2 linked regions of the Caenorhabditis elegans genome follow. The protein of the gene in region 1 interacts with the protein of each later gene in a pairwise test. Each region holds a gene or a part of one and is shown in the gene's direction. Other genes may lie near its edges.

Region 1 (4,991 bases):
GATCGAAAAGGATTAGCACTGAGAATTCAACAAATTTCACAAAAAATGATGCAAAAATCTGGAAAAATCGAGGAAAAAACCGCGATTTTCATTAAATTCCCGCAAATTTTGTTGGAAATTGCCGATTTTTCGATTTTGCCACCGAATTCTTCAAATTTGCTGTTTTCTACGTTAATTTTGGGATTTTCTGCGTTTTACGACGGAAATGGTGGGTAAAAACGACGATTTTAGGCAAAAAACGATAAAAAAATCGTTAAAAAAAATTGCAAAAATAGATTTAAATAGACCCGCGGGTATCGCAACGAAAATCTAGGATTTGAGAATTTAGTTGTGCGGCTTTAAGATTACTGTAGCTAATTTTTATTGATTTTTCGCGATTTTTTCAGTTTTTCCGGTGTAAAAACGCGAAAAATATCTTTTAAAAAAAATTTTTTTTTCAGAAGCCCAATTCAACGACTTATTTCGTCAATTTCTCTCAAAAACGATTCCCAACTCGACATGCACGTCTCCAATGGAAATTATTGAGGAAATTTGCGAAAAAATCCGAATAAAATCCAATTTTCGCCACTTGCCAGACATTTCATTCTTGAAACCCAATCCCGACACGATTATCACACAAATTTCGGAGATTTTCGACACGAAAATCGCCAAAAACGACGAACGAATCGTCGAAATTTGCTCGATTTTGTTGGAAAAGCTGGCGCCGCAACTTCAAGCCTTCGGAGATCGTGGCAAGACCCCATTTTGTCAAATTGTGAATATTATTGTTGATAAATATGTGAAAAATTCGGTGGAACCCGTCAATTTTCAACTTTTTCGGGAAGTTTGTGAGCGAGCTGTCGACGGATTTGCGATGATGACAGAGCAATGGAATTTCCTGTTTCTTTCCGCAAAAATCCTGACGATTTTGAACTTGACGCGGCGGGAAGCGGGCTTATTCGCTGTTTTAATGAGAAAAATCAATAAAAATGAGGTAAAATTAGGTTTTTTTTAATAAAATTCACAAAAAATCGATTTTTTGCAGATTCTTCTCACAAAACTACGCGGCAAGAAGGAATTTGTGCAGTTGGAGGGCTCTTTGGAGCTATAAATGAAGAGAATTTTGGGTAAAAAGCTGGTCAAAACTACACGATGGACGGGCTTTATCGATTATTTTGGAATTTTTTTTTGTTGAAAAAATAACATTTTTAAATTATTTTTTTGTTTTTATTGAAAAGAGTAACAATTTTTGGCTCTGAAATATTTTTTTTTATTCGAAAAATTTTTTTTGTCGGACAGGTTCTGGATTTTTTTGTGAAATTTTCACTGAAAACTCGCAAATCGGAGTGAAAATTGAACAAAAATCGATAAAAAATGACAAAAAACGATTTAAATGGACCCACAGGTCTCGCAACGAAAATCTAGGATTTAAAATTTTAAGTGTGCGCCTTTAAGATTACTGTAGCTAGTTTTTAATGTTTTTTCGCGATTTTTCCAATTTTTTTTTCGGTATTAAAGTGCGAAAAATGTCGGAATTTATCAGATTTCACAAAACAAACTTGAAAAATCGGCGATTTTCGTTAAATTCCCGCAAATTTCTTTTGATATCGCCTATTTTTTCACCGAATTCTTAAAATTTGACGTTTTCCACATTAATTTTTGGAAAAATAAAATTTCTGCGTTTTTTCGGAGAGGTTCTAGGTTTTTCTTGTTAATTTATATTGTTTTTTGTTGGTTTTTTGGAAAAATTCCATTAGCATTTTCAGAGTTTCCGCGAATTTTCAAATTTTTTAAAAACTAATTTCCGTTTCAATATTCCAGTAGTAAAAAAATGTCTGAAGATGGAGAAATATCACTTTCACCCAATTCGGCGGCACTTATGGATGGATTAGATGACTTTATAATCGATAAAAATTGCTCGGGAATCATTCCGAATGAGGATTTGGAGAGGGAAACACCATCAGCTGATGATGATGCGGAAGTTAAAACTAGTAGTAATTGGGCGAAAAATATGCGGAAAAGAATGTTTGGGGAACAGGTACTAATTGAAAATTGTGGAGAAAATTGAAGAAAAATCAGGGGGATTTTCCCAAAAAATTGGAGAAAAATGTGAATTTTCTATGAAAAACGTCGAAAAAAGTCGATTTTTGTGGGAATTAAGGTGCAAACGCCCTCCAATGACAGTCAAAAACGCTCCGGCGGTCACAAAATTTGGGTCTCGTTAGGTATTGGCGCCGCCGGCAAACCTTGAATCTTTTTTCTGAGAAAAATTACAAAAATCGAAAAATTCAAGATTTTTCGAATTTTTTTCGGTTTTTTAAAGTTGTGAAAAATTGGTTTAAAAAACTGAAACTTTAAATTTTTAAATTTTTTTTTTAATTTTTCTCTCGTAAATTTTGGAAAAAAAAACGAAAAAAGCATTGAAAATTTTCGAATTTTCGTTTTTTTTTCAATAAAAAAATTCAAAAAAACCGAAAAAAAAAAAAAAAATCTAGAATTTTTGGTTTTTTTTAAATAAATAATTTTGTGATAAAAATATGCTTTCTTCAATAATTTAGTCACAAAAATTTCAATTTCAAAACTTTGAAAAACTTTTTTTTCCGTTAAAAAAAATAAAACGAAAAAAAGTTTTAAAAATCTTCAATTTTTCGTTTTTTTTTTCAAAAATTTAATCCGTTTTTTACGAAAAAAAATGTTTTTATTGCTTCATTAGACTCAAAATTGTCTGAAAAAAACCAAATTTCATAATGAAACTACTTGAAAACTTCTCAAAAAAAAAGTTATGGCGGCTCGAAAAATGGCCTAAAATTAGTTAAAATTTGAAATTTGACCGACTTGTCGAGCGGCTGGAAACTTTTTTTTTTTTTTGAAATCACTGTCAAATTTTGAGTATACAATGTACTTATCTTGGGTTTTCAACTCGATTTAAGTATTTTAAAGTAGATTTTTAAATTTTTTAACCAAATCTCGCCGGAGGCACCACGTTTTCAAGATCTGTTCGAAAACAAGGTTTTCAGGATCTGGCACCGTGCCAACTGCAGTTTTCTCCGTGAAAACCGAAACAACGATGCTCCGATGTTACGCGTCGCGTGTTGTTTAGCGTTCAGAAAGATATTTTTTGAAATGTTCGGAGCATCGTTGTTTCGTTTTTCATGGAGAAAACTGCAGTTGGCACAGTGCCAGATGTCTGAAAACTATGTTTTTGAACAGATCTTGAAAACGTGGTGCCTCCGGCGTGAGTTGGTTTAAAACAATTTAAAAATCGACTTTAAAATACCTAAATGAAGTTGAAAACGCAAGATAATTAAAATTGTATACCCAAAATTTGACGGTGATTTAAAAAAAAATTAGTTTCCAGCCGCTTGACAAGTCGGTTAAATTTCCGATTTTAACTAATTTTAGGCCATTTTTTGAGCCGTCATAACTTTTTTTTTGAGAAGTTTTCAAGAAGTTTCATTATGAAATTCGGTGTTTTCAGACAATTTTGAGTCTAATTAAGCAATAAAAAAATTCGACTACACCATCTTTAAAGTTTTTATAAACTTTTTTTTTCCGTTTTGTGAAAAATCTGAAAAAAAAAACAAAATTCAAGATTTTTAAATACTTTTTTTTCCGTTTTTTCCCGCAACAAATATTATTTGTTTGGAAATCAAAAAAGAAAGTTTTTAGCGAAAAAGTCCCAAAAAAAAATTTTTTTTTGCAGTGCGACGAGCCCGAAGAATCGGAAAAAAAGCGTCGCCGTACAAATTGTTGCTTCAACTGCCGCGGCGGCGATCACTCTATAGCTCAATGCCCGGAGCCCAAGAATTTCGCGGAAATCCGGAAGAACAAGCTCGAATTCATGAATGACAAGCAGCAGCAGCACCAACCAACTGGACGGATTTCTCAGGTCACCGAGCAGCAGCAGGAAGCCAAGTTTAAGCCGGGAAGACTGAGCCAGAATCTACGAAAAGCGCTGAGCCTTGGACCGGATGATATTCCAGAATGGGTTTATAGGATGAGAAGATTGGGATTCTATCGGGGATACCCACCGGGTTATTTGAGAAAATCGTTGAAACGGGAATTTGCGACGTTGAAAATCTACTCGGAAGATCATAATCAGGAGGAGGTGGATAATGATGATGATGAAGAAGCCCGTCCGGCACCGACAATTCAGTCGGAAAAAGTGCATTTCTATATGGGATTCAATAAAACGTATGGAGCACTGAGAGATCGTGAACGGGGACGATTTGAAGTACCGCCGTTTGATATTTTTTGTGAAATGTTGCAGACGGTAAGCGCTGAAGAAATGGAGGAGTTTTTAGGAAAATTCGGCTAGAATTGACACGAAAAATGGAATTTAATTCTTCTTTTGAAATTCTGAAAAATTGATTTTTTTAAATTAATTTAATTTTTAAAAAATTAAATAAAATCGAATTTTCACAATTTTCAAACTTTTCTAATTATTTTTTAAACCGAAAAAAAAAACGAAAAATAAGAGTTTTTATGAAATATGTTATTATTTAAAAAAAATCAAAAATCTTATTTAAAAAAAAACTAATTTCTACCGAAAAAATGAAAAAAATAGAATTTTCATAATTTTCGAAGTTTTCTAATTATTTTGAAAATTCTGAAATTTCCAGATATTGAAATAAAAAATATTTAATTGTTTAAAATATTTAATTGTTTAAAATTTAGAATTGTTTAAAATCCTCAATTCTCTTTTTTATTTTCAAAATACAAAATTAAAAAAAAAACCGAAATTTCTATTTTTTTTTTTGTGAAAAGCGAAAAAACAAACTAGAAAAATAGCCTAAAGTTGAGGAAAAATGGAATTTAGTTAAAAAAAAAATTTAGATTAACTTTTAAAAAATTATTGAAAAATTCTAAAAAATTTATTTTCAAAAAAATGAATCCAATTTATTAAAAAATTGAAAATCACTGAAAATGGGTAAAACTGTAAAATATGCCGCCGGAACTCATAATTTTACAGTTTTACTCATTTTCAGTGATTTTTAATGAACAATTTGCAT
Region 2 (5,768 bases), on another chromosome or scaffold:
GCATTGTAATATGATTATTGGCCACTTTCACCGCTGCTTGCCCACTGAATACATAATTTTTTACTTGGAAATTGTTTTAGCATCTGCAAAAAGTATTTATTTATCAGTTTTAATAAGAAAAAACGAAAAAAATCGATGAAAAACAAAAGAAAACAGGCGGAAAACAAAGCAAGATAAATGGCCGCTGAAACTTGTCGGCCCCTCGGCCATGGCCTAGAAACCACTTTTCCTCGTCCCTCGTGAGGAAAAAGTTGCAGTGGCGCGCGAGACAGATGTGGCGTTGTTCCAATTTCTTGGCAATTAGCCAAGAAAATGGGAGAACGAACGGGGAAGAAGAGATATGGGAGACGACGGGGGAGACCCAGAAAAGGCGGAAAGTGAAAGAGCTGGGGAAAAGTAGTGGAATATCAAATTTAATCAAAATTCTTCGAAAAAAGGGGTTTTTTGCATTAAAAATCATGTTTTATGTTCATTTTATGTTTTATTACATGTTATCAGTGAAAATAATTGTTTTTGTCATCAAAAAGTATTTGTGAGCATGCTCATGAGCACATATGTGTTTGAGACAAGATTTCTAACAATTTATGGTTTAAACACACTAAATAAAGTACGAAATTACGATTAGCGTTTAAAAAAAATCAAAAATCTTTGTAAAAAATGCCAAAGAAATCAAAATTTGATGTCTTATCATCATCATTTGTGGGTTTTTAATGAATCGTCTAGCAAAAGAGAGGCAGGAAATTGCACTTTTCAGAAAAAAAACCCCACGAGGGGGCGCCTGATCTTGTTTTTTCTCGATAAAAATTGCGGAACAACGGAGAAATATTTATTTATCAATCTAGAAAAATATTGTTCCTCATAGCCTGAACCTGAAAAGAACTTTCTAGTTTTTTTGAAACTGCTATGAAATAGTTAGTAAAACAAATAAATAATGACTCATTTGGGCGCTCTGACGATCTGAAAAGCAGGTAAATTCGTCATACAGGAGAAAAATGAGGAAGAAATAACCTTTTTTCTTTTGAATTAAAAAAAAGCGGACATTTTTCTGAGGAAGAAGGGGGCTAAAGGGTGGCTAAAGGGCTCTTGAGACGGATTCGATTTATTTTTTGAGGTAGAAATATGGATTTTTAAGTCAATTTAAGTTTGGTTTCAAACAAAGCTAATTCTCAGGAATTGAGCGGTTTAGCTGTATAAAAATTTTAAAAATAAATACACCGCTCGCTCCATGGAGAAATATTAATTTTTGCTTTAAATCGAACTGTAGAGCTCTGCGAGCCTCTTCTCCACTCGACACACGGAAAAAACTAGTAAAAGTACCTGAAATATACTTTGGAAACAATTAATTTTCACAAAAAACGGAAAAAGGTTAAGTAAATTTGCTAAAACAACCAGTTTTTGTCGGCTAGGTTCTACTTTTCTAGTGCCGTGCTGGCTTTTCTCTATGCACGAGATATGCGCCAGCAAAATCGAGAAACGCGTCAGCGAGGACATGTTTGCGCCATCCGGGAATGGGAATGGGATTTATTTGGTTTTTCTCGTTTTTCTCGCTTTTTCTCTCACATGAGTGAATTTTCAGCCTTTTTTTCGAAATTTCGAATTTAAATTTGAATTTTCAGCAAAAAATGGAAATAAAACCAACGCCATCGCCTCCAGAAGAGCGCACAATATACGTGGCCAATTTTTCAGAAGAAGTCGATGAAGAATTGCTCGAAGAGCTTTTTATTCAAGCCGGCCCCGTTGTAAAAGTTATTCTGAGAGATGTGAGGGATTCTAATGCAAAATTCGCATTGGTGGAGTTTGAGGTAAGCAATTTCGCTGAAAAATTTAAAAAAAAAAATAAATTTCAGGACGAATTATCTGTACTATTCGCCATTGAATTGATGAATGGAGTGCGACTTTTCAATCAAGAACTACAAGTAAAGCCGCGAAATGGCACAAATCAGGAGGAATTATATAAGCGAAAAAAAGGAGAAATCGAGGAAAGAGTTCGATCGGTAGCGGCACCGGATCGAGACGGAAGACGGGATAGCTATAGAGATGATCGGAACAGGAATAGGTAGAGTTTATTGGATTAATTCAAGGATTTTAAGGCTCAATTAGCACGATCTGACGCAGCAAACACAGCTTCTTCCGTTTGTCGACGGGAATCCGGAGGCGCGATCTGCGGAGAGCCCGGCGGCAAGAGCAACGGATGCACAACATCCTGGGCATCGTTCGGCTGGATTTGAAGCAGCGTCAGTGCACCGAGCATTTGTAGACTGGCCGTCAATGTTGGCGACGAAGCCGGCGGCAGTGGAGCAGGCTGGAAATTGAATTTTATTGATTTTTTAGCGTTAAAAATCGTACCAAAGCAACTTGGGAATCTGTTAGCATTGTTATTGTTCCAGATGATCTGAAAAGAAACAAAATTGATTTTTTTTTTGAATTTTATAATGAAACTTCTTGAAAACTTTTCCAAAAAAAATTATGACGGCTCAAAAAATGGCCTAAAATTCGTTAAAATCGGAAATTTGATCGACTTGTCAATGTCGCAGCGGCTGGAAATATATTTTTTTGAAATCACCGTTAAATTTTGAGTCTACAAGTTGATATTTTGCGTTTTAAACTTGATTAACAAGGAAAGTCGAAAAATTTAATGTCTGACTTTGGCATGACATAGTATTTTTCGATAAAAGAGTAAAAATAATGATGCCTCCAAAAAATTTAGCTGCCCGGTTCAGGTTCAGCAAAGTTATGACGTTTTGGAAGTGACTAAAACACCTTTTTACAAAATTTCAAAATTTTCAACAAAAAAAAATTTCTAAAAAGAGGAGCAAATGTGTGTAAATTATTCAAAACAATGAAAAACATATGCTATGCAAGTTTTAGGTTATACCTCTCAAGAAAACCCACAAATTAAATCTGCAAAAAAATGTACTTTTTGGAATTTTCCTCAAGTTATGTAGATCAAGCAATGTGCTTTTTGGTCTGTGGTGAGAAAAAACGTGTATGATAAATGTTTTTCTCATTTTTGGATAAGTTAAAACAGTTTTTTCCTCTTTTTAGAAAATTTTTTTTTTTTTTGAAAATTTTGAAATTTTGTAAAAAGGTGTTCCAGTCACTTTCAAAACGTCATAACTTTGCCGAACCTGGACCGGGCAGCTAAATTTTTTGGAGGCATCATTATTTTCACTCTTTTATCGAAAAAAATACTATGTCATGCCAAAGTCAGACATTAAATTTTTCGACTTTCCTTGTTAATCAAGTTTAAAACGCAAAATATCAACTCGTAGACTCAAAATTTAACGGTGATTTCAAAAAAAAAATATTTCCAGCCGCTGCGACATTGACAAGTCGGTCAAATTTCCGATTTCATCTAATTTTAGGCCATTTTTTGAGCCGTCATAACTTTTTTCTGAAAAGTTTTCAAGAAGTTTCATTATGAAATTCGGTGTTTTCAGACAATTTTGAGCCTAATAAGGCAATTTTTAAAAAAAATTCTACTACACCAGTGGTGTAACACCACCTTTAATTATAAAAAACATTATAAAAAACTCACGCTCTGCCCCGCAGCCACAGAAATTACAGCGAAAAATACGATAAGAAGCTTCATCTCTAACTCAGACGATGATAAAAAGATCAAATTCGGCTTTATTTTATACCCGGCGTTGGCTTGGTTTCTGTCTCACAACATTTTTTTTTTGATTAAAAATCTCAGAAATCGAAGAAAAACGTTGAAAATCAACAAAAAAAGGCCGAAAAATCATTTTTTTTTTGTCTTTTCCAGAAACGGAAACAACCGTGACTCATGGCAGCAGCAGCAGCCTCCTCGTCATCATCGACAATATGATCCTCTTCCACCTCCACCGCCACCTCCACTGATGGGAGGATCCGGAGGACATTGGAGAAGCGGAGGGGAAAGAGGTAGCAAAAAAATCGATTTTTAGTTGAAATTTCTGAAAAATTGGAGATTTTTAGGCCTGAAATACATGAGAACGGGCTCAAAATAACTGAAAAATGGAAAAAAAATCTTTTTTTTAAAAATTTTTTTTTGCAAAAAATTCAAAATTTCAACCTTTTTTCCGCAAAAAAACATGCTGAAACCCTAAAAATCGATAATTTGCAAGGTTTTTGCGGAAATTAGCCGGAAAATTTGATTTTTAAAAAATTGAGCCAATTTTTGAGGAATTTTAGAAGAACAAATCTATAATTTTTCCGAAACCCCCTCAATATAAGTGAGAAATCGGTGAAAAAATCTTAATTAGAAAAAATTTTTTTTTGTTCAAAAATCTGAAAAATTGGAGATTTTTAGCCCTAAATTGCATAAAAGCAGGCTCAATTTACCTAATTAGGCCTAAAATAACTCAAAAATTGGGAAAAAAAATTACACCAGACGAAAAAAAGAGCATCGTTTGTCCAATTTTCAGACATTTTTCCGCAAAAAAAAATTGCTGAAGCTCAAAAGTGGCCAATTTTAGAGAGTTTCAGGGACTTTTTTTGCGGCAAAAAGTCTGAAAAATCATTCCTAAAATCAAATATTAGAGAAAAATTCAATGAAAACCAATAAATTTTCTGCAGAAAAACGCAGAAATGTCGGAAAAATTCGTTAATTTTTCCAAAAAATCGATTTTTTTTGCAGAAGTTTCTGAAAAGTTCTAGATTTTTAGACCTAAATTTCATGAGAACAAGCTTAATGTACCTAAAATAACTAAAAAAAATTGAATAAAATTGAAAAAGCTGAAAAAAGTTCGCTGAAAAAAGTAACCAATTCAGCCGAAAAACGCAAGAATGTCGGAAAAAAAATCGAAAAATCAATATTTTCCAGGTCCTCCACAATATTCGACTCCGCAAATGCTTCCTCATCAACATTTTGTAAATCAAATGATGCAGCAACAAATTAATAGATCCGCTCCTCCGTACAATGGACGTCATCAGAATTCCACGCCACACCGTCATCACGATCGTCATGGATATGACCGAAGCTCGAGCCGGCATCATCGCAATGATGACAGAAGACGTGAACGTTATTGATCGATGATTCGGGCGGGAAATCATAATTATTTTGATCTTTTTCACTTGTTTTGCCATGTTTTTTGGTCTCATTTTATATATTTAATAAAAGCAAACACAATTTGAAAATATAGAGAAAAATGCAACAACAAAGATCTACTGGAAATTTTCAAAAAAATTTATTTTTAGGCTCCGCCCACTTCCTGGATATCCGGAAATTTCAAGTGATTTTTTTGGAATTTTTTTCCTTTCCAGAAAAACAGATATCTCCAGGAAGTGGGCGGGGCCTAATAAGCCGTTTTTTTTTGAAAAATAAAAAAATCCAAAAAAATTTATTTTTAGGCTCCGCCCACTTCTTGGGCATTCGGAAATTTTCAGTGTTTTTTTTGGAATTTATTTTCCAAAATAACCTATCTCCAAGAAGTGGGCGGGGCCTAAAAAGCAGTTTTTTTTTGAAAATTGTTAAAAAATCAAAAAATTCGGATTTTTTTTGGAAAATCCTAAAAATTCAGAAATTCCACAGAAAAAAAACACCTTTTTTTCAATTTTGGCTAAATTTTGGCCGACCAACCAGCGAATTGCTTCGCCCACTTTCCGACCAATCAGGTGAGAGGTCCACCTTTATTATTTCATTAAAAGTAAACAATTTGAAGAAGGAAAAAAAAACGAAATAACAATAAGGATCTACACACTAGAATTTGGTTATAAATCAATTTTTCTGAATTGTCAGCGGTAGTGGTTGAAGTTCGGTGAATCCGACACGCATTCCGACGCCTTCT

The links. Proteins that work in one complex are often made in the same cells at the same time.
Region 2: the proteins of Y34D9A.7 (region 1) and rbm-7 interact in a two-hybrid assay, tested with the Caenorhabditis elegans proteins (one large-scale study listed by BioGRID).

Annotation. Positions count from the first base shown.
Region 1 is NC_003279.8:1,039,674-1,044,664, forward strand, and holds the start of Y34D9A.7 (PSP proline-rich domain-containing protein), read left to right. Parts: upstream 1-1,798; 5' UTR 1,799-1,810; coding exon 1,811-2,017; intron 2,018-3,682; coding exon 3,683-4,252; intron 4,253-4,991. Other genes in the region: Y34D9A.3 (THO complex subunit 2), read left to right, coding at 1-208, 441-973, 1,025-1,090.
Region 2 is NC_003281.10:12,927,716-12,933,483, reverse strand, and holds rbm-7 (RRM domain-containing protein), read left to right. Parts: upstream 1-1,616; 5' UTR 1,617-1,622; coding exon 1,623-1,802; intron 1,803-1,847; coding exon 1,848-2,056; exon of another isoform or gene 2,057-2,096; coding exon of another isoform or gene 2,097-2,302; intron 2,303-2,346; coding exon of another isoform or gene 2,347-2,392; intron 2,393-3,538; coding exon of another isoform or gene 3,539-3,592; exon of another isoform or gene 3,593-3,611; intron 3,612-3,766; coding exon 3,767-3,903; intron 3,904-4,804; coding exon 4,805-5,010; 3' UTR 5,011-5,114; downstream 5,115-5,768. Other genes in the region: Y37D8A.19 (uncharacterized protein), read right to left, coding at 2,097-2,302, 2,347-2,392, 3,539-3,592; mrps-10 (Small ribosomal subunit protein uS10m), read right to left, coding at 5,699-5,768.